Linked DNA regions of Arabidopsis thaliana. Each later gene encodes a partner of the first gene's protein in a complex. Each region holds a gene or a part of one and is shown in the gene's direction. Other genes may lie near its edges. The genes, in order: ARPC3, AT5G65274, CRK and ARPC1A.

Region 1 (4,696 bases):
ACATGAGGATATATATGTACTCTGAATAGTCTAGGCTACACGTTGCTATCACTCATCTTTGTCAACACTTTTTGCTAATTCTTTATGAGTGAAGTTGTATTATGTTTCCCTGATAGTGATCTTGGCCTGAGTGTTGTTGCAGACTAACGTCTATAAGACTGAAAATATAGCTACATTAACATTTAGGACATTATAAATTTGAAGATGGTGATCATTTGCAATTTTGATTAAATGAGCTGTGCTCCCTGAGGTTTTTTAACCGATAGTTTCTTCATTGCATTAAAAGCATCTGTGGCAGAATAGTTTTTGATAAACTTCTTATTTCTGCCATTTTAAATTAACAATAGATTATTGCATGATTGCAGACTGTCCCAAGGGAAGCTTTTACCTACTTAGATGGCCAAAAGAAGTTTGTCGAGATCGACCATAATGATTTGTATCCATATCTACTAGTCAACATCGGTTCTGGCGTTAGCATGATCAAGGTTCATTCTGGTTTTGGTTTCTCTGATCTCTCTGTTTTTGTTTGCTACTACACCAGCGATGTTGCTTACTCAAACTCGTTCTTATATAGGTCGATGGAGATGGAAAATATGAGAGGATAAGTGGAACAAGCCTTGGCGGAGGCACATTTTTAGGTCTTGGGAAGCTTTTAACAAAATGCAAGAGGTGACTTCTTAGTTAAGTCTATTAATGTAAGTTTCCTCCTTGCCTGAGTAACAACTAATATTTCTTAATTTCAGTTTTGATGAGCTGCTAGAGTTAAGCCACCATGGAAATAACAGAGTAATTGACATGCTTGTGGGGGATATCTACGGTGGAACAGATTATTCAAAGGTAATTGATTGATCCTGGTTTTGCTTAAACATGTCTGAAGACTTTTAGATTAGATTCATATGTTAATATAACCTTTTGTTCATTCTTTTTTGATAGATTGGTCTCTCCTCAACAGCTATCGCTTCCAGCTTTGGGAAAGCGATTTCTGATGGTAAAGAACTTGAAGATTACCAGCCAGAAGATGTGGCAAGGTCCCTTCTAAGAATGATATCAAATAACATCGGTCAGGTCAGTTCCTCTGAACATTTTAATGCCATTTTAAAACATAATTTGAAGCTGATGATATTCTGATCGAATTGTAACGTTTTCTACTCTCCCTCCAGATTGCTTATTTGAATGCTCTCAGATTCGGTCTTAAGCGTATTTTCTTTGGTGGATTTTTCATCCGTGGGCTTGAGTACACCATGGACACAATCTCCGTTGCTGTTCACTTTTGGTAAATCCAAAACCGAAACTACTTAATCAAATCCCTCCATATCTTAAACTCATGTATGTCCACAAAATCTTTATCGAACTTTCTCATTTTTCCTTCTCATTTCAGGTCGAGAGGTGAGGCAAAGGCAATGTTTTTACGACATGAAGGGTTTCTTGGAGCATTAGGCGCTTTCACGAGCTACAATGACCAGAGCCATAACGATTTAAAACCGCATCATCACACTGTGCAAAGAGCAATTCTCAACTGTTCAGGTCATAACTTTCGGCACATCCCAGTAACTTCAAATTTAAACGAAAGCGAGACCATAGAATGTAGCATCAATTTAGTTTAGTTATCACCAGTTGTATTATTATCAATTCAGTGTAGAAATATGTTTAATCAACTGTTTGAGTCAAGAGCTGCTCATTACTAGTTTGTTGAATGTTAGACACATTTATGTAAGATGATTCACGTATTAATATTCATGTATGACCAATGTAACTTGTACTATATATCACACAAAGAATCAAACACACTTATTAAATCTCACTAGAGCTTCTTTAAATCTCGGTTTAGTCCGGTGCATTGCAAGTATTTGTGCATTTCTGTTTAGCCTTTGTTTACTAAGTTTTGTATATTGCTTATGTAACAAGTTTTTATCCATTCAGCAGAAATAACAGAAACTTGACACTTATATGGACATTTTGTTGTTGTTGTTGATTGAAGATCAATGTTTAATCCGGTCAAACCACTTTGATGTAACCCGAAACTGAACCGAAGAATGAACCACATCATTATTTGGTTTTTGATGTACCTAATTCCAGTGGTCGATAAGAAACCAAATTTCAAATAAAAAAACCGAGAAACTCAAAAATCAAAGCTAAGCCGGATTTAACATTGGTTACTCCCGGTACGAAGCAATGTACCACATTCATGGAGTCTTACACGTGTCATCCATACCTCTCTGTCTTCTTCTTCTTCTGTTCTTCATTCCTTTTTCCTACTTCGTCGATTTTCCATTTCAATTTCTTCTTCAGCCGGCGATTAAGCTTCCCAATAAGACAATCTCCGACCGCCGCAACATCACGAAGGATTCTTCACCGTGTGAACTTTACGCAGTCTTTCCTCTTTCGTAGACGCTAAAGAAGTTGAAATTGATCTGATCTCGTTTAGGTAAAAACTTTTTCTTTCTTCATCTATAGAATCAATCGTTCACCTAAATTCTGATTCTTATATATCCAAGATCTTAATTGCAGCAGATCTACCTTCGATTCGATTCTTCTCCTTCCTGATATCGCTTCATTGTTCAAATTCGGCACAAAATGGTACGGATCACCATTTTCTTATCTTTCAATTAGCATTAATCGCATTTCATTTTGTAACTAATGAAATTAGATTAGATCTTCGATGAGATTTTTTTTATTTATTGAGCTTGTTTCACTTTGATTTGGTTCCATGGAGTATTTAACTCTGCGATGCTCATTTTGTTTCCTTAATCCTTGTGATTAAATGCTCTGATCAGGTTTATCACTCGAGTTTTGTGGATGAAGAAGGAGTAACAAAGGCATGTGGTTGTCCATTGCTTCCTCTCAAGAGTCATATAAAAGGTCCTGCACCTGTTTCAGAACAAGGTAATTAATCAAAACATGTGATTTTTTTCAATTGTGCGATCGAAAGCTTTTGTAAATTGTTGGTTTTATATGCAGATAAAACTGATATAGTAGACGAGGCAATCACCTTCTTTCGTGCTAATGTCTTCTTCACAAACTTTGATATCAAAAGTCCTGCTGATAAGCTCCTTATTTACTTGACGTTTTATATAAATGTGGCGTTAAAGAGGCTTGAAGGCTGTAGAACATTGGCTGTTGGAACTAAAGCGATTATCAACTTGGGTTTAGAAGATATTCCTGTTCCTGGAGAAACTGGCTTTCCTTTCCCAGGTCTCTTTTCGCTTCCGCAGTCCCAGGACGAAGCAGGTATATATACATGTCTAAACAACTCTTATTGATTTTTCTTTCAGTTACTTGGTCCTTAGCCTTGTGTTCTGTTTGGCTTCAAATGTCAGAGCTTTTCAGGAACTATCTTAAGCAGGTTCGAGAGGAGACAAGTGGGAGGTTACTGAGTGTAGCATATAGAGCCAACGGGACACCAAATAAATGGTGGCTTGCATTCGCCAAGAGGAAATTCATGAACGTGGTCGTCCTATGATAAAACAGAGAATCACTGGTAAGTATCACTTTAGTTTACTGGATCCAAAATCCCACGTGATCTTAGATCCATCTCAAACAGTTCTACATTTCAAGCTTAAAATGTTTTTCTTTTGATCTGATTTTTTCATAATTTAGCAGCTGGTTATTCTTCCTTGCTTGCTGCCCATTACGAATGAGGGAATCCAAAGCCACTGGAGATCATGAGAATCGCCACCTTTAGCTTCCTCTGCATAGGTGTTAGCCACTGGAACCAGGAAGACGAAAATTTCATCTGAGAGCAGAATGCTCTCTCTCTGTATCTCTTGATATATACATAGAGTGTGCCAATGTATTGTTTCATACAACTCCTGTTGGAATATAAAATTTGTTGATACAAGATCAAAGTTAAATAAGAAGATTCTTTTATTATTACTTTAGATTAACAGAGTTTATCTCCAAGGTCTTAATCAGATATCAGATTGTAACCACACATTCTCACTCTTAGCAATTATACAAAGAAAGGAAATAGCTTTGCATACACATAGTGACATAACTGTGCCTGAAGCTACCTATCAGGCCTTGGTGCATACGTTTCCTTCACAAACCCAACCATCTTTGGACTCGTCGCCACCAACTTTCACAGCCTCATCGCCGTTTTCTTTTGTGTCCTCGTTTAAAGCACACTTGGCGTGAAGATCAAAGTCGCATTCGTCGCAATGGTAAGACCATATTGTCCCTTCTTCCTCACACTTATCGCATGTGTAAACCTGAACACGAGTTAGTTCTAGCTCATGTTCTTCATGGAGAACATGTTTCACCTTCTTAGGCCAATCTTTTGCTATCTCATCGTACTTAGCTTCAATCTCCTTCAAACGTTCCTCAGTAAAAGGGTAAGCATCGGCTCCATGGGCTACGACAAGGTCCCTTGCTTCTTTTGTTACGGTTTGCCCAGTTGGTCCCAGAGCTGCTAGCATTGGGATCCCACCAACCTTAAAGGTTTTTGCCAAGGATGCTTTCCTAGGATCACCAAATGGAAGAGCCAGCCACGGCATTTGCGAATAGTACTCATCGAATGATTCCTGGTCACGGTCACTGGAGATGAAGATCAATTCAAACGCTTCATTCCGCTCCTTTATCTGCTTGTATACTTCAACAAGCTTTGGTGTAAAAGCGCGACAAGGAGGACACCAGTGAGCTGAGAAGTACATAAGAATAGTCTTCCCCACCAGATCCGAAACAAGCACCTAACAAAGAA
Region 2 (3,209 bases), on another chromosome or scaffold:
TGGATTCTAAGGCCACCATCGGCGTTGAGTTTCAGACTCGGACGCTTGTTATCGATCACAAGAGTGTTAAGGCTCAGATCTGGGATACCGCCGGCCAAGAACGGTAATCTCCGACCTCTCCCGGAACTTTTAGCTACTTCAATTGCTTGAACTTAGATCTCGTAAGATTTTACTGTTTCTCTAGATCTGGAAGATGATAGGTCTGCTTAGGATTTCGAATTCTAGTAAAGCTTACTGATCTGTATACGAAATTGGGAGGATCTGAAGTAAAATGGTAGAATCATTGAGAATTTGGGATTGGGATTTCAAAATTATGTATAGACTAGAATTATGTATATTACTATTCCAATGTTATTAAGCTTCTATAATTTTATGATTGGTACAAATTTGGACACTTTTGTTATACATTTCCCAGTGATGCTTCATCAACTTTATACATTCACTGATCTTTAATGAGTAAGCTAACCACCACATTTCATGCTTATCATATGCTTACATTGTATATCTTTCTATATGTGTGGTATTGGTTGAAACAGATACAGAGCAGTAACAAGTGCATATTACCGAGGAGCGGTTGGGGCGATGTTGGTGTATGACATAACCAGACGCCAAACCTTTGACCATATCCCAAGATGGTTAGAAGAACTACGTGCTCATGCAGATAAGAACATTGTGATAATCCTTATTGGGAACAAGTCAGATCTTGTGGATCAACGAGCTATACCGACAGAAGATGCGAAAGAATTTGCGGAGAAAGAAGGTTTGTTCTTCTTGGAGACATCTGCATTTAACGCAACCAATGTTGAGAGCGCTTTCTCCACGGTTTTGACTGAGATCTTCAACATTGTGAACAAGAAAAGTCTGGCTGCGAGTGAAGATCAAGAGAATGGTAATCCCGGGTCGCTTGCTGGTAAGAAGATTGATATTGTTCCAGGTCCTGGTCAAGTGATACCAAACAAGAGTAACATGTGTTGTAACTCTTAGATAAACCAATTCAATTCTTGAATGTTACTTGATAACAACAATATATAGATGTTTTAAAGACTCTGATTGGGATATTTCTCCTATCTAGAGCTGTGTGATTCATTTGTTGCTTAATGAGCAGTTTTTGTGGGGTTTTGGGGTGTTGAATCCAAGTATAACAAACCGATCTTAATTTGATCTTAAAAATTGGATATTAATTTGATCAACATGTTTTTATTCTCTCTACATTTGTAAGATTATTGTTACATTTTTGTTAATTACAAATATATACCAGCAATAACAACTTTTCTATTTCTCTTGTTACGTCAATGTGAAAAAGTAAAAATTAAAAACTGAAGCATCCGATTTTAATAATTGGTATCACAGTTCTGATAAATTCTCACTCGGCCGTTTTACCACTCGATTGCTTTATTCTCTCTAATTTCAGGTAATCTTCGAATCCTGCTTGATTCTTCAATCTTGTATGATTTGATCAGAAAGTTCAGGATTACTGATCTGATATGATGTGAGAAATCTGCGTACCATCGGCAATGGATTGTTTTACGTGATTAGAATTGATTTTGTCGTGATTGTTACTTCTCTTTTTAGCTTTTTATGGGGATGACAAGTTTTGCATTGCCTCCTTTGGTTAGTAAACTCAAATCATATGTTTCTTATGCAGCAAGTTGTCGATTTGAATGAAGAAATGAAATTAATTGATTAGGTTTTAGATAATTTTGCTGGAGAGTGTAGAGAAAGAGAGAGATCCAATGGCTGGTGCAGCAGCATTTGTTGAAGCTGATAATGCAGAGGAAATAATGGCAAGGATCGAAACCAAATCGCAGAAGATTGAAAGCTTACTCAAACAGTAATAACCCTAAAGTTCCTTTTTTCTTCCAACTTTCTCAGATGACCTAGGCTATAATTGTTACTTCGTTTTATTCAGCTACAAACATGTCGAAGCTCTTAAAACGGCTCTTGATGGTTCGCCACCTAAAACTCTCGACGAACGTTGCAAGGTCCTACTGTTTCCTCTACCATGCACATAAGTAGTTTGTTCATGATCAAAAAGATTGTGTAATTTATGATAAATATCTGTGAAATTGCAGTCAGCTAATTGGATAGTTGTGCACAGAGCTATCATGGCGATAAAGGATATCGAAGGAATGTTAAATTCTCTTACTGCCGAGTATTACGACATTCTCATGAAGTAAGTCTCTTGCCTTTTGCTCTGCTAGCTTTTAATTAGCGTGATGTGGAAGCAGTGTTTTGTTTGCTTAAATGGTGTGGATCAGGTACTTGTACAGAGGTCTTTCGACTGGTGACGAACCCACATGCGAACAGTGTTTGATGATTCACGAGAAACTAACAGAGAGAGCTGGTCTCGGTTGCATTCTCCGTTGTCTGAGTGATACTACCAATACCGTTTAAACCATTAAGCTGATCTTTTCATGTTACTTTTATTCTTGTTTTCTATGAATGTTTCTCCCAAATCTCAAGTTACTTCAATAGATTATAGAAAGTGGAATAAACCGGAGAACCTAAGATCCTTTCACAAAGAGATAGTCATAAAAGAACCTACGGTTACCTGGTTTTAAATTATATCTCATAACCAGGAAACTTAGAATCTACCGGCGACACAAGATCGAACCAGAGGCATACTGGTCCAGCTAGTCCCCGGAATAGCGAATAATCATGTTCTGTTTCTTGGCTTGTCATATTCACGAGCTCTATCGCATCACGGCACAAGTAACTCGCAAACGCTTTTGCTCTCTCTTCATATACAACATCTCCGGTTAAGCGATAAAGGGATAAGAAAGCGTAGGCATTACCAGCAACTCCATCAGCTAAACCTACCTTCTTCACCAAGCCACTCTTCCACACTACTTCTCCTGCTTCAATGGCTGCTTCGCGGAAATCCCTTTCCTTGGGAAACACCTGAGATGCTTTAGCCAAAGTAATGGCCATGCCGGTTGCTCCATGAGCCCATTGGACTAGCTTATCCCTCGGATTCCCTTCGCTGCACGGGTAGTTTCCGCTGTTCGGAAACCTATTACTCATCATATACCTCAATGTCCCTTGAACATCTTTAACATCCTCTTCCGATAGTGGAAAATGCAGCAATACATACAAGATTCCAGCTAATCCATTCGCAGCACCCCAAAATCGCGTTCCGTGAAACCTAAAAGCCACAAAAGTAAGATCAATTCCTACTAAAGATAAACAGGATTCTCTTTTAACAAACT
Region 3 (3,956 bases), on another chromosome or scaffold:
TTTTTCATTGTTAGGAGACCCATTCCTCTCCTTCTTCTTTTTTCTCATTTTTTTTCTTTCAAGAAGATTCATTCTTGATTTGGAAAATGCATGACATATATTTCAAACCAGATAAAGTGAACCATTTCAGTCTGAATTCAATTGAATAATGTTAATATGAAGACCAAGTTGAATTTTAATGTGGGGAATTAAGCTTCTTTGGAAGGTACTAACCAAATTCAAATATAAATATATTCTTTGAAAATTTGAAACATAATTCATTATGAAGTAAATATTAAATAAAACAGAAAGTGTTCCATACTGAATTATAGTTTCATTTTGAATACTATTCTATACAAAAATAAAAACAATAAAAAAAAATTGAGAGAAATATTAGCAATGAAAACAAAACTATCAAAGAATTGTTTTTGAAGTTAAAAAATATAAAATTTCAAAGTTCGAGGTCGGTGGCTAACTAACATGAAAAGCGCCGAGCAACTTGTGATATGTACGAGTTGGACCAAGTCGTGACGACTTTTTTAATAAGCTTAAGATCCAATTATTTCTCAAGAAAAACAGTAAAACGTACGCCAACATATATTAACTACGACGACAAAATTCTTGGCCTTTAAGAAAGACTAGTACACGATCAATCCCAACGATTAAACCAGCAGACGAGTAACCATATGTAGGGTACGAGTTTCTCAACCACATCTCCAACTTTTCAGTAGACGATCTAATTATGTTTAACCACTAGAAGCCGACACCATAAACATCCATCCGAGGTTATCGTCTTTCGAAGAGTTCCTAACGAGCATTCATGAAACATCATTCTCACTTCTCCTCCCACTAAACCGACTTTTTTCGGATGTTATTTCAAATTTGGTTAATTGCTAAATGATTGACCATTAATTCGACCACGTGATTACACAAAGAGACGTTTAGATCCACTACATTGGTGCGATGTGAAGTGATCACCATGCTTTAGTTTACACGTCCACTTTATATAGGTTTGGCAGTTAAAAAAAAGAAGTTTTATACATAGTTCTATCAAGTGGTCTTAGACCGAATCTTGGCAATATATTTGTTATAAGACTACCAATATCATTAATGATTAGAGAAAGTTAATGTTAAGTTTCATCAGATTCTAATTTAAAACCAATGGGTAATGATTGGATTGGTTGTGTTCCATATATACTAGTGTTAGCACTTAGCAGTCATGAGTGTGTTTACTCCATTTATAGTATACTTTCGATGTAGGATCCTAATTAGAATGATAAAGAAACATTCCAAAAGAGTATTATCAAAATGCTCTTCGTCTATCCATACAAATATAATGAGATTTGGGCAGAAACAACCATTTTGTTAACATATTAGGGTCGAGCGCAGAAAAAAATATATTTTGACCTGTGTTAATAAAATAGAATAGGTTGCGATTTTAATTAAGGAGGTTAATAAATTAAAATCGTAAAAATGATACCAAAATGGTAACAAAATCGTAAAGAAAAGTTCATTAGTATAAATATAAAAAATTCGGTCCAACAAATATTACTATTAAAAATTTATAAGAGAGATTTATAATAAAAAAAAAATTGTTATACCAAGAAAGAAAAGGAGATTCTTGTATTGTAACCCGTTTGTGTGTCTTTTTTAGTCTCAGATTTGTTTTAATTTTCTATGACTTAGGATTTGTAAGTCTTTTTTGGATTTCTAGAACCTGATCGAGGAAATTTCAATGAATATAGTGTAATTGGTTTGTTTGGATTTTGTTCCCTTTGTTTACCTTGTTTGGTATTTGGCTTCGGGAGTGTTCTTGTACTCATCGGCTTATGTCTCCGGAAGTGGTTTGTACTTGCCGGCTCTTGTATTTCAACTTGAATCCTATCGATGAAAATCCTATTGACAAAAAATGAAAAAAAAAATGAAGCTTCCATCATCCATCATTCAGTGGCAGCATAAGCATTTAAGACTACGTGCCGTTTAAGGCCAAGACAAACGGCACTCAGTTCCCTTTTGAAATGGTCAAATGGCGATTGAGTTGTTTTCCTCTCTCTCTCTCATTTTTTCAATTAAAGAAGGGAAAGAGGGGAAATCTCTGATCGGAGAGAAAGATCGAATCGAAGAATGGCAGAATTCGTTGAAGCTGATAACGCAGAAGCAATAATCGCGAGGATCGAAACCAAATCGAGGAAGATTGAAAGCCTACTCAAACAGTAATATCAGACCTTGGAGCTAAACCCTAAAGTCTTCTTTTGTTTTTGGTTTAATCCCTTATCGGTGTTTTAATGTGTGCAGGTACAAACATGTAGAAGCTTTGAAAACGGCTCTTGAAGGTTCGCCTCCGAAAACTCGCGATGAACGTTGCAAGGTCTCTCTCTTTCCGAAACCATCTTTTTTTTTTTTTTTGATTTACTGAGCCAAAAAAAACTCAACTGCAGTCGGCTAATTGGATAGTTGTGCACAGAGCTTTAATGGCCATTAAGGATATTGACGGAATGCTCAATGCTCTTGATGTCGAATATTACGACATTCTCATGAAGTAAGTGCAAAGTTGGTTTTTTTTTTTTTTGCTGTAATGCGTTTTGTAATATGTATGAATTGGAAAGCTCTATCCTCAGGCTGTCTGTGCTCTTTGATAGAATGTTTTTGCTTAAAATTCTCAGGTACTTGTACAGAGGACTTTCTACTGGGGACCGACCCACCTGCGATCAGTGCCTGAAGATTCACGAGAAACTCACTGAGAGAGCTGGTCTCGGTTGCATTCTCCGATGTCTTACTGATACCATCAACACCGTTTGATCCATCATTCCCTCTTATGTATTATTACTTGATGCCTTGATGTTTCCAATGTGCATATTCTCCTTGAGGAACCATGTCTCACATTTATCAGTTTTAGACTTGTATTTTCATTACCAAACAGTTGCTTGATAAATGATAACACAAGTCATTCCTAGAGCTCATGTGTAACATAATTCCCGGATCAGCTGAATCATAAATACGAAGACCAAGTTGTGATTAAGTAATTTTAGGGGGGTGTATTGAAACCAGAATCTTTTAGAAGATTTGGTGGAATTTGCATTCTTCTACAGACCAAATCCATTCTCGATTTTGCCGGTGAAGAACAGAGACCGAAAGCTTTTTTCATGGAAGACGAGGGGAGGAGGACAATGAGAATATGTCGCAGAGATTTTCTGTGAATCTTTTTTTAAATCAAATCGTTCAGAATAACACCTACAGGTGAGATTTTTTCATGCTTATTTTCAACTAAATTTTTTTGCCTAAGTCTCCCAGAATCAATGTTAAATGTTTTTAATGAAATTGTTTTGTTGAGTTTAGATAACAGTGGATTTAAGATGTGTTTTATAAATTCTTGAATGAATAACAGAAGATTATAGATTCTTTTGAGTGATTTTATATAAATTCCAATTTCAATAACAAAGGATTTGAGAAAAAAATTACAAATCACAAGTTGAATACAACCATTCCTGATTCACTGAATGTTCATAACTCGAAGGCCCAATATCGAACTCAGCCCATTGAAACTAAATTCATTTCTAAACTTTCAATGTAAATGCACTCGTCATACAAGAGTAAATGTTCACATAGTTAGTCATTGATTTAAACAATTTTACTCTTTAGATTTTTAAAATTTTATAGGATTGTAATAAACCAGGTTGAATTCAAATGTCAAATAGCGTTAAATAAAAGTTTAGATCTTTTTTTTTTTTTTTTTTTTTTTTATCAACGTTAGTACAAGAAGAAACAAGAGCAGCTTTTGCCAAAGCATCAGCTTGATCAACGTTTCCTTATAAAAGACAAAAGCAATTAAGTTTTTACTTTTACAGTCTTTTTGATCAAATTAAATGAGTAATTGAGTAGTAGTAGTAACAAAAGGGAATCCCAGAAATAGTAGTTGCTTTCACATGAAAAAATTTCCAAATACAACAATTTTTATTTATTATTTATAGCATCCGGTA
Region 4 (6,967 bases), on another chromosome or scaffold:
GTGCGAATGGTTCATCATTAGGGCTACCACCTAGAAAGTTTTGTAATATTTATCAAGGAAGTTGGGTCTATGACAAATCTTACCCTCTCTATGATTCCAAGAATTGCCCTTTCATCGAGAGACAGTTTAACTGCAAGTCCAATGGTCGCCCTGACAGCGAGTACCTCAAGTATCGATGGCAACCTTCCGGTTGCAATCTCCCCAGGTGATTCCATCTTTTCTTTATGGTATTTATAACGTTTTTCGATATGTAGATCTAGTGCGTTTTAACTTTTAAGGCATGTAACTAGTCATAGGTGAATTGCTATGAGTACCACTATACTTCAGGACGACTTGGGCATCAACTAGCATTGTATCGGAAAATTTCATTTTCAAAAACGTCTTTAGTATTTCTTGAGGGGGATTAATAGGTTTTTAATTAGGATTTATTATTGGATTCAAATCCCCTTTTATGTCGCATATAAGTTCATATGTAACTATGTAAGAATGTTATAGAATTTAGTAACCGAAGCAGCTGGTACATAAATCCATAACTATCATTTATTGGAATAAAACTGTTACAAAGACAATAAGTCACAAAATGTTACAAATTAACGGAAGTACCCAACCATTTTGTGGTAAATTATTAAACGTGAATATTTTCTCCTATGAATGATATAGAAGTGTTAAATTGATTAATGATGAATGGTGCAGATTCAACGGCTTAGATTTTCTGGGAAGGATAATGAAAGGGAAGAAACTGATGTTCGTAGGAGATTCACTGAGTCTAAACCAATGGCAATCTCTCACGTGTTTGCTCCACAACGCCGCACCAAAAGCCAATTCCACATCCACACGTTCCCCTTCTGGCCTCTCCGTCTTCTCATTCCCCGTAACGTTTTCTAACTTTATCAAACTCGTTCCGGTATTGATCCGGTTTAATAATTCTGGTTCGGTTCGTATTTAAATGCATGCAATGCAGGCTTACAATTCTTCGATTATGTTTTCAAGAAACGCGTTTCTTGTGGATATAGTCGGAGCCCCACCGAAGCGAGTGATGAAGCTTGACTCAATCTCGAGTGGTTCGTTGTGGAAAACCGCAGACGTTTTGGTCTTCAACTCTTGGCATTGGTGGCTTCACACAGACCGAAAACAACCGTAAAATCATCTTTATGTCGTCAAACATATTTTGCTATGGACTATGGACTTATTAGTATCTAACTAATGTAATCATTTGGGGTTGCAGATGGGACGCAATTATGTCCGGGAATGTAACGGTTAAAGACATGGACCGGTTAGTGGCATATGAGAAAGCAATGATGACTTGGGCTAAGTGGATTGATCAAAATATTGATCCTTCCAAAACCAAAGTCTTCTTCCAAGGTATTTCTCCGGACCATGGCCGGTAAGTTCTACCTCTATATAACTTCTTTTTTATTCGATACATACATTAAATCAACGATAAAAACTTAACACGATTGATATATGTTGGATTAGTCTATAAGTTTTCGTTAGAACCAAATAATTTCATGTTGATATTGTTAACAATAATGGTACATAATGTTACAGGGCAAGGGAATGGTCGAAACAAGGTGGCAAAGGCAGTTGCATAGGAGAAACAAAGCCGATTATGGGATCGAGTTACCTGGCTGGGCCGCACGCAGCCGAGATGGTGGTGGCGAAAGTGATAAAGACGATGAAGAATCAGGCGCGGTTAATGGATGTGACATTGATGTCTCAGCTAAGGAAAGATGGACATCCTTCAGTATACGGTTTTGGCGGTCACAGAATGGCGGATTGTAGCCATTGGTGTCTCTCTGGAGTCCCGGATAGCTGGAACCAGCTCTTGTATTCTGAGCTGTTTCATTCTTAAAATTTTGATGGTTTTGACACAAAACTAAATTCATTATATGATTTATACATTTATTTATGACCTAACCATGTTTGTGTTGTTTTACACATTTATTTTATGTCATAAACATGTTTATTTAGAATTTCAAATTCATTTGTCAACCAAAATGTTTAAATGAGAACAAGATTCTTTGACTGGTCGAACAATTTATAAGAGAAGAATTTGCAAGAATATAACCTTATGATCTCGTTATAATTGAATGGACTAAATATGTGTCCTGAATCTCTAAGTGAGAGATTAGAGGAAGACCAAAACTAGAAGTAAACCTTATTCCACGAGAGGGGATAACTAGCGTAGCTTATATAATAACTTTGTACAATGATTTGGGGTTAAGTTATTTTTGGATTATGCTAAATCAAAATCTAATATAGTGGTGCAAGCCCCTTGACTTGGGTCAATGATTCAAAAGCTTATACAAAAAAAAAAACGAAAAAACTAATAGTAAAACATTACTTTAGAAAAAAGTTACTAATCAATATTTTTTTAAAAATTTCAGATTACTTTATAAGTTACTCTATACTCATAGACTCATAGTGAGATATAGTTCTATTTTTACATGGATGAATTGGATCGAATCCATTTATCTACATTAATGTATTTAACTAATGCAGAACTTAAGCCTTTTATCGGAAAAAACAAAAACAAAACTAATGCAGATTACAGAACTATAGATTTAAAAATAAAAATAATTCGATTTTTTCCTTATTATTATGCTGGTTTGCCCAAAAATAAAGGTCCAAGTAAAACTGAAATTGATCTGGTCATAAAAATTGGGGCTTTAGTAAAAAAAAAAAAAAAAAAAAAAACATCTGTCTCTTTCACTTCACGTTTGCGACTGTGTCGTCGTCCACCTCCGGATCTCATCGGCGTTTCATCATAATTATCTGTCCATCTATTCACCGTACGACTCCGTTTTAGGAATCTGTGGATGTCAATTTGAGAGAAAAGACTGTCTTCATTACAACACATTTGGGACAACAAGGATCACTCATGGCAGTGGTGGATGTTCATCGTTTCGCTGAGTCAATCACTTGCCATGCTTGGAGTCCTGATCTCTCCAGTATGTTTCTAACACCTCTCTGATTTTGTGATTCTCTTCTTTCTCTCTTCCGTCGTTTTTTCCGTTTTAGAATTATAAATGAGGAGGATCTATCTATAGTTAGTTTGGCTGGGAAGATAGATAGATGATACAACTAAATTGACTTGTGTTATTCTTATACATCTTGGTAATCAAATTTCTTCGAGTCAATGTTTTATATGTCTGTTTGTCGGTGTCTCTTGTTAGGAACACTTGGTATCTAGTATTGTACATTAGTAGATGCGCTTTTCTAAACAGATGAACCAAATCTATTGTTACAAATGATTTAACGTCTGTACTAAAGCCTGTAACCATTTATGTGCTTTGACATTTGTTTCGTTTTTCTTGGTAGTGGTTGCTCTCTGTCCTAACAACACTGAAGTTCATATCTATAAATCATTGTCTCAAGACCACTGGGAGAGGTTACATGTCCTCCAAAAGGTGAAACCTTTCTCTCTCCCTCTCTTTCTGTAACTTTTGAACTTGCATTCCTTTTGCTTTCTCTTCTTGGGAATTCCTTACTTTCGTATATTTATGTATTCTCATTTCACTGATCACTTGTCGCTGATAAGTGTTGTATAGACAGCTTGAATCTCCCTTACAACAACTTCATGATTATTGTTCGTCTTGTTGCAGCATGACCAAATTGTTTCTGGAATAGATTGGAGCTCAAAGTCCAACAAAATCGTCACTGTTTCTCATGACAGGAACTCGTAAGTTGCTACCTTTGATATACTTTGAGAAACTCCAAACCTGTTAATCTTAGTCCTTCACTTTTTTTCGTTCGTTGAACTGAGTTTAGAATGCTTCTTGAAGGTACGTCTGGAGCCTGGAAGGAGCTGAATGGGTACCAACTCTCGTTATTCTTAGACTAAATCGTGCTGCACTTTGTGTCCAATGGAGCCCCAAAGGTAAATGTTTAATTTTTCTGGTTCTTAAGCTTAATTTCCGTAATATGTAGTGTAATTTTCCTATAATTTCTACAGCTTCTAATCTATGTTCTCATCTTTTTGCTCAATACCCATAGAGAACAAGTTTGCTGTTGGAAGTGGTGCTAAAACTGTTTGTATTTGCTATTATGAGCAAGAGAATAACTGGTATTTTCTTCTTCTGCTCCTAATTCTCATTATTAGTCCTTGATTTTTTCTTTGGCAAGTTTCCTGACTTCTTTGCTACGAATGGTGTTGTTGGTCTATGTAATGATATTATTTTGTCTTATGTACTGGCATGATATTAGCACCAATCATATTTTTTATTATCTTGGCATGCATAACTGTGTATTGTTTAGAGATTTTAGAAAGATACTTTCATGTAAACTTTTAGTATCTGACATTGCTTGGCTTTACTGTTTTCAGGTGGGTCAGTAAGCTAATCCGGAAAAGGCACGAATCTTCAGTCACATCTGTTGCTTGGCATCCTAATAATGTACGTGCAATCAACAGAACCTCTTGTAGTTCATGTAGTTAAAATAATAAGCAGGCTCTCTGTAAAAGCATTCTCTACCAAAAATATTCTATAAGTTGGCCACCAGATTGAGTATAGAGTACATGATCCCTAAAAATAGAATATCAATCTCCACAAACTAGTTAATCTTCTAAATCATTTTTTCTCGTATGCTTTTTTATGTTGCTGTGCTCTCTGATTGTCTGTTATGCATTAGGTTCTTCTGGCAACGACATCAACAGATGGAAAATGTCGGGTATTTTCAACATTTATCAAAGGAGTTGACACAAAGTATGCTCATTACTTGAACGTCTACTTTTAAAACATTTTTTCAAACATGAGGCCGTTTCTTATTTGTCTTTCAATGGGCTGATACAGGGATTCAAAAGCAGGCTCACCAGCGGAAACGAAATTTGGGGAGGTTTGACTCGTTTGGCTGGCTTTCCTTCTTTTAGTAAATAGTATACCACTTCTGCCATATATATGTTCCCTCTACTCACTCTCTTATCTAATGTTAGGGAGCTTTTTTTCTGTTGAAACAGCAAATTCTTCAGCTTGATCTCTCATATTCTTGGGCATTTGGTGTTAAATGGTCTCCAAGTGGAAACACCTTAGCTTATGTAGGTCAGAATATCCTTAAAACTTAAGATGTTTGTCCATTGAGCTCTACTGGAATTATAAAAATGGAACTTCACCTTGGTTGCATAATTTTTACTACACTCCGTCTCACTTCCCTTGTTCATGCAATCTTGTTTATAGGTCATAGCTCCATGATTTACTTTGTTGATGATGTTGGTCCTTCTCCTTTAGCCCAAAGCGTTGCATTTCGAGATTTGCCTCTTCGTGATGTGGGTCAGCATCCACTCTTTTTTTTCTTTTGAGAAAGTGTTCTCATGTGTTATATCCTGAATTGATATATTATCGGGAACTTGCTATCTTCAGGTCCTGTTTATTTCTGAGAAAATGGTGATAGGCGTGGGATATGACAGCAACCCGATGGTATTTGCCTCAGATGATACTGGAATATGGTGTGTAACTCTTAGTTTTCTCTTTCTTAGCTATTTCCAGACAATCAAATACTTCAATTCATTAATTCTCCTTAGCTCTCAGGCCGGATAGTTATTTCTGAAATCATCCACACACCGATGATTGCCTTGTTTACAAGTTTTTGTTTATGGTCTGCAGGAGCTTTATCAGATACATCGGAGAGAAGAAAGCAGCATCTTCAAATTCCAGTTACAGTTCGCAGGTACATACCATGTTTTCTTTCTTGAATAAAATATGAGTGAACTTAGCTTATTCCTGAAGTGTTCCTCTAAGATAGTAGTAATCTTTCGGGTTAGTGTAGTTGCTCCTTTTTTCTCCTTGGGTTTACTACTTTGAACTTTCCACTTGCATTATTTGTACTGTTTTGTCTAATCCTTTTTTTCATTATGTTATCTTTTCAGTTTTCTGAAGCATTTGGAAAATTCTACGGCAGTCAATCAAAGTCCACAACAGCCAACGATGCTTCTGAATCACGTGGAGGTGTTCATGATAACTGCATAAAGTAATTATTTCTTAAGCTAACTTTTCTTTTACCAAATCATTTGCCAGAAACCTGCCTCATTAACTCTTTTACTTCGATTGTCTATTAAGAACCTGACATGGAAGGTTACCTGAAAATTGCAGTTCCATTGTGTCTCTGAGCAAAGCAGGGAGTCCTAAAGTAATGCGATTCAGCACTTCAGGTCAGTCACTAATACAAAATGGAATTAGCCGATTCAGTTCTCAAAAAACAAACCAGCAGTTTCATTTACTCGCATAACGGTTTGTTATTTATAGGATTGGATGGCAAAGTTGCCATATGGGATCTGGAGAACATGGAACAAGAACTTGGCAATCAGTTTTAATAAACACACAAATAAAACAATTCTGGCTCACAAGCAAGGTTTTACTTAAGTTTAAACTACTTTTTCAATTTCGTAATTGTTTCACTTTGTAAACTGCCACAATAAAAGGCCTTATTTTCTTGGTTTGTGTAAGGGCAGGTATTAATAAGTTTCTTGGCTTCATGATTTGATTCATTTAGTTAGCATCTTGTAATACCTTTTATATATAGTAATATCAGCTTTGTGTCGAAAGGAGTCCATATTGAACCAAACACAACAATTTCGCAAAATTTTCAAGTTCTTGAGAAGAAGCAAAAAGCTTTGGTCCTCCGAACTATGCCATATTTACCACAAAACGAGATATCGACAAACATTAATCTTCTATCAGATGACAGAAGTGTGATTCAGAAGACCAAATATTCTTTGAATGTTTCTCACTTATTGCAAAACAACTACTGTCCTCGTCCTAAGCAACTTCCAGAGTACCTAGTTTTTAAAGCATGAACTAGAGTTGTAACTCAGAAGCAGATATGCAGAGAAACACGACTTGGAACGATTGATTATATGTCTCCAAGATCCTTCCTTTTCGTCCCATAAGCAATATAGTTGACACTAATATCATCTGACAATAACCATCTTCCTGTTATTGGGTTGTACACAAATCCAGCTATCTCTTTCACCTGC

What was found.
Region 2: ARPC3 (region 1) and AT5G65274 share a complex: the UniProt entries of both Arabidopsis thaliana proteins name them as parts of the arp2/3 complex.
Region 3: ARPC3 (region 1) and CRK share a complex: the UniProt entries of both Arabidopsis thaliana proteins name them as parts of the arp2/3 complex.
Region 4: ARPC3 (region 1) and ARPC1A share a complex: the UniProt entries of both Arabidopsis thaliana proteins name them as parts of the arp2/3 complex.

The regions. Positions count from the first base shown.
Region 1 is NC_003070.9:22,263,561-22,268,256, reverse strand, and holds ARPC3 (actin-related protein C3), read left to right. Parts: upstream 1-2,180; 5' UTR 2,181-2,425; intron 2,426-2,495; exon of another isoform or gene 2,496-2,508; 5' UTR 2,509-2,574; coding exon 2,575-2,577; intron 2,578-2,774; coding exon 2,775-2,883; intron 2,884-2,958; coding exon 2,959-3,228; coding exon of another isoform or gene 3,229-3,260; intron 3,261-3,317; coding exon 3,318-3,460; 3' UTR 3,461-3,478; intron 3,479-3,600; 3' UTR 3,601-3,872; downstream 3,873-4,696. Other genes in the region: PANK1 (pantothenate kinase 1), read left to right, coding at 366-485, 575-669, 744-837, 934-1,065, 1,161-1,273, 1,379-1,604; AT1G60420 (DC1 domain-containing protein), read right to left, coding at 4,014-4,685. UniProt on the Arabidopsis thaliana protein: Functions as a component of the Arp2/3 complex which is involved in regulation of actin polymerization and together with an activating nucleation-promoting factor (NPF) mediates the formation of branched actin networks.
Region 2 is NC_003076.8:26,083,567-26,086,775, forward strand, and holds AT5G65274 (ARP2/3 complex 16 kDa subunit (p16-Arc)), read left to right. Parts: upstream 1-1,733; coding exon 1,734-1,831; intron 1,832-1,909; coding exon 1,910-1,982; intron 1,983-2,026; exon of another isoform or gene 2,027-2,072; coding exon 2,073-2,173; exon of another isoform or gene 2,174-2,258; coding exon 2,259-2,394; downstream 2,395-3,209. Other genes in the region: RABA4a (RAB GTPase homolog A4A), read left to right, coding at 1-103, 537-984; GCL1 (GCR2-like 1), read right to left, coding at 2,563-3,145. UniProt on the Arabidopsis thaliana protein: Functions as a component of the Arp2/3 complex which is involved in regulation of actin polymerization and together with an activating nucleation-promoting factor (NPF) mediates the formation of branched actin networks.
Region 3 is NC_003075.7:733,673-737,628, forward strand, and holds CRK (ARP2/3 complex 16 kDa subunit (p16-Arc)), read left to right. Parts: upstream 1-1,980; 5' UTR 1,981-2,103; coding exon 2,104-2,192; intron 2,193-2,274; coding exon 2,275-2,347; intron 2,348-2,417; coding exon 2,418-2,518; intron 2,519-2,642; coding exon 2,643-2,778; 3' UTR 2,779-3,293; downstream 3,294-3,956. Other genes in the region: AT4G01703 (uncharacterized protein), read right to left, coding at 580-693. UniProt on the Arabidopsis thaliana protein: Functions as a component of the Arp2/3 complex which is involved in regulation of actin polymerization and together with an activating nucleation-promoting factor (NPF) mediates the formation of branched actin networks.
Region 4 is NC_003071.7:13,150,566-13,157,532, forward strand, and holds ARPC1A (actin-related protein C1A), read left to right. Parts: upstream 1-2,223; 5' UTR 2,224-2,332; intron 2,333-2,607; exon of another isoform or gene 2,608-2,673; 5' UTR 2,674-2,881; coding exon 2,882-2,951; intron 2,952-3,321; coding exon 3,322-3,410; intron 3,411-3,605; coding exon 3,606-3,682; intron 3,683-3,785; coding exon 3,786-3,880; intron 3,881-3,996; coding exon 3,997-4,066; intron 4,067-4,324; coding exon 4,325-4,394; intron 4,395-4,629; coding exon 4,630-4,703; coding exon of another isoform or gene 4,704-4,722; intron 4,723-4,790; coding exon 4,791-4,833; intron 4,834-4,930; coding exon of another isoform or gene 4,931-4,954; coding exon 4,955-5,036; intron 5,037-5,171; coding exon 5,172-5,260; intron 5,261-5,354; coding exon 5,355-5,440; intron 5,441-5,597; coding exon 5,598-5,661; intron 5,662-5,860; coding exon 5,861-5,961; intron 5,962-6,083; coding exon 6,084-6,142; intron 6,143-6,236; coding exon 6,237-6,304; 3' UTR 6,305-6,467; downstream 6,468-6,967. Other genes in the region: TBL43 (TRICHOME BIREFRINGENCE-LIKE 43), read left to right, coding at 1-205, 694-871, 962-1,137, 1,226-1,384, 1,549-1,852; COQ3 (coenzyme Q 3), read right to left, coding at 6,844-6,963. UniProt on the Arabidopsis thaliana protein: Functions as a component of the Arp2/3 complex which is involved in regulation of actin polymerization and together with an activating nucleation-promoting factor (NPF) mediates the formation of branched actin networks.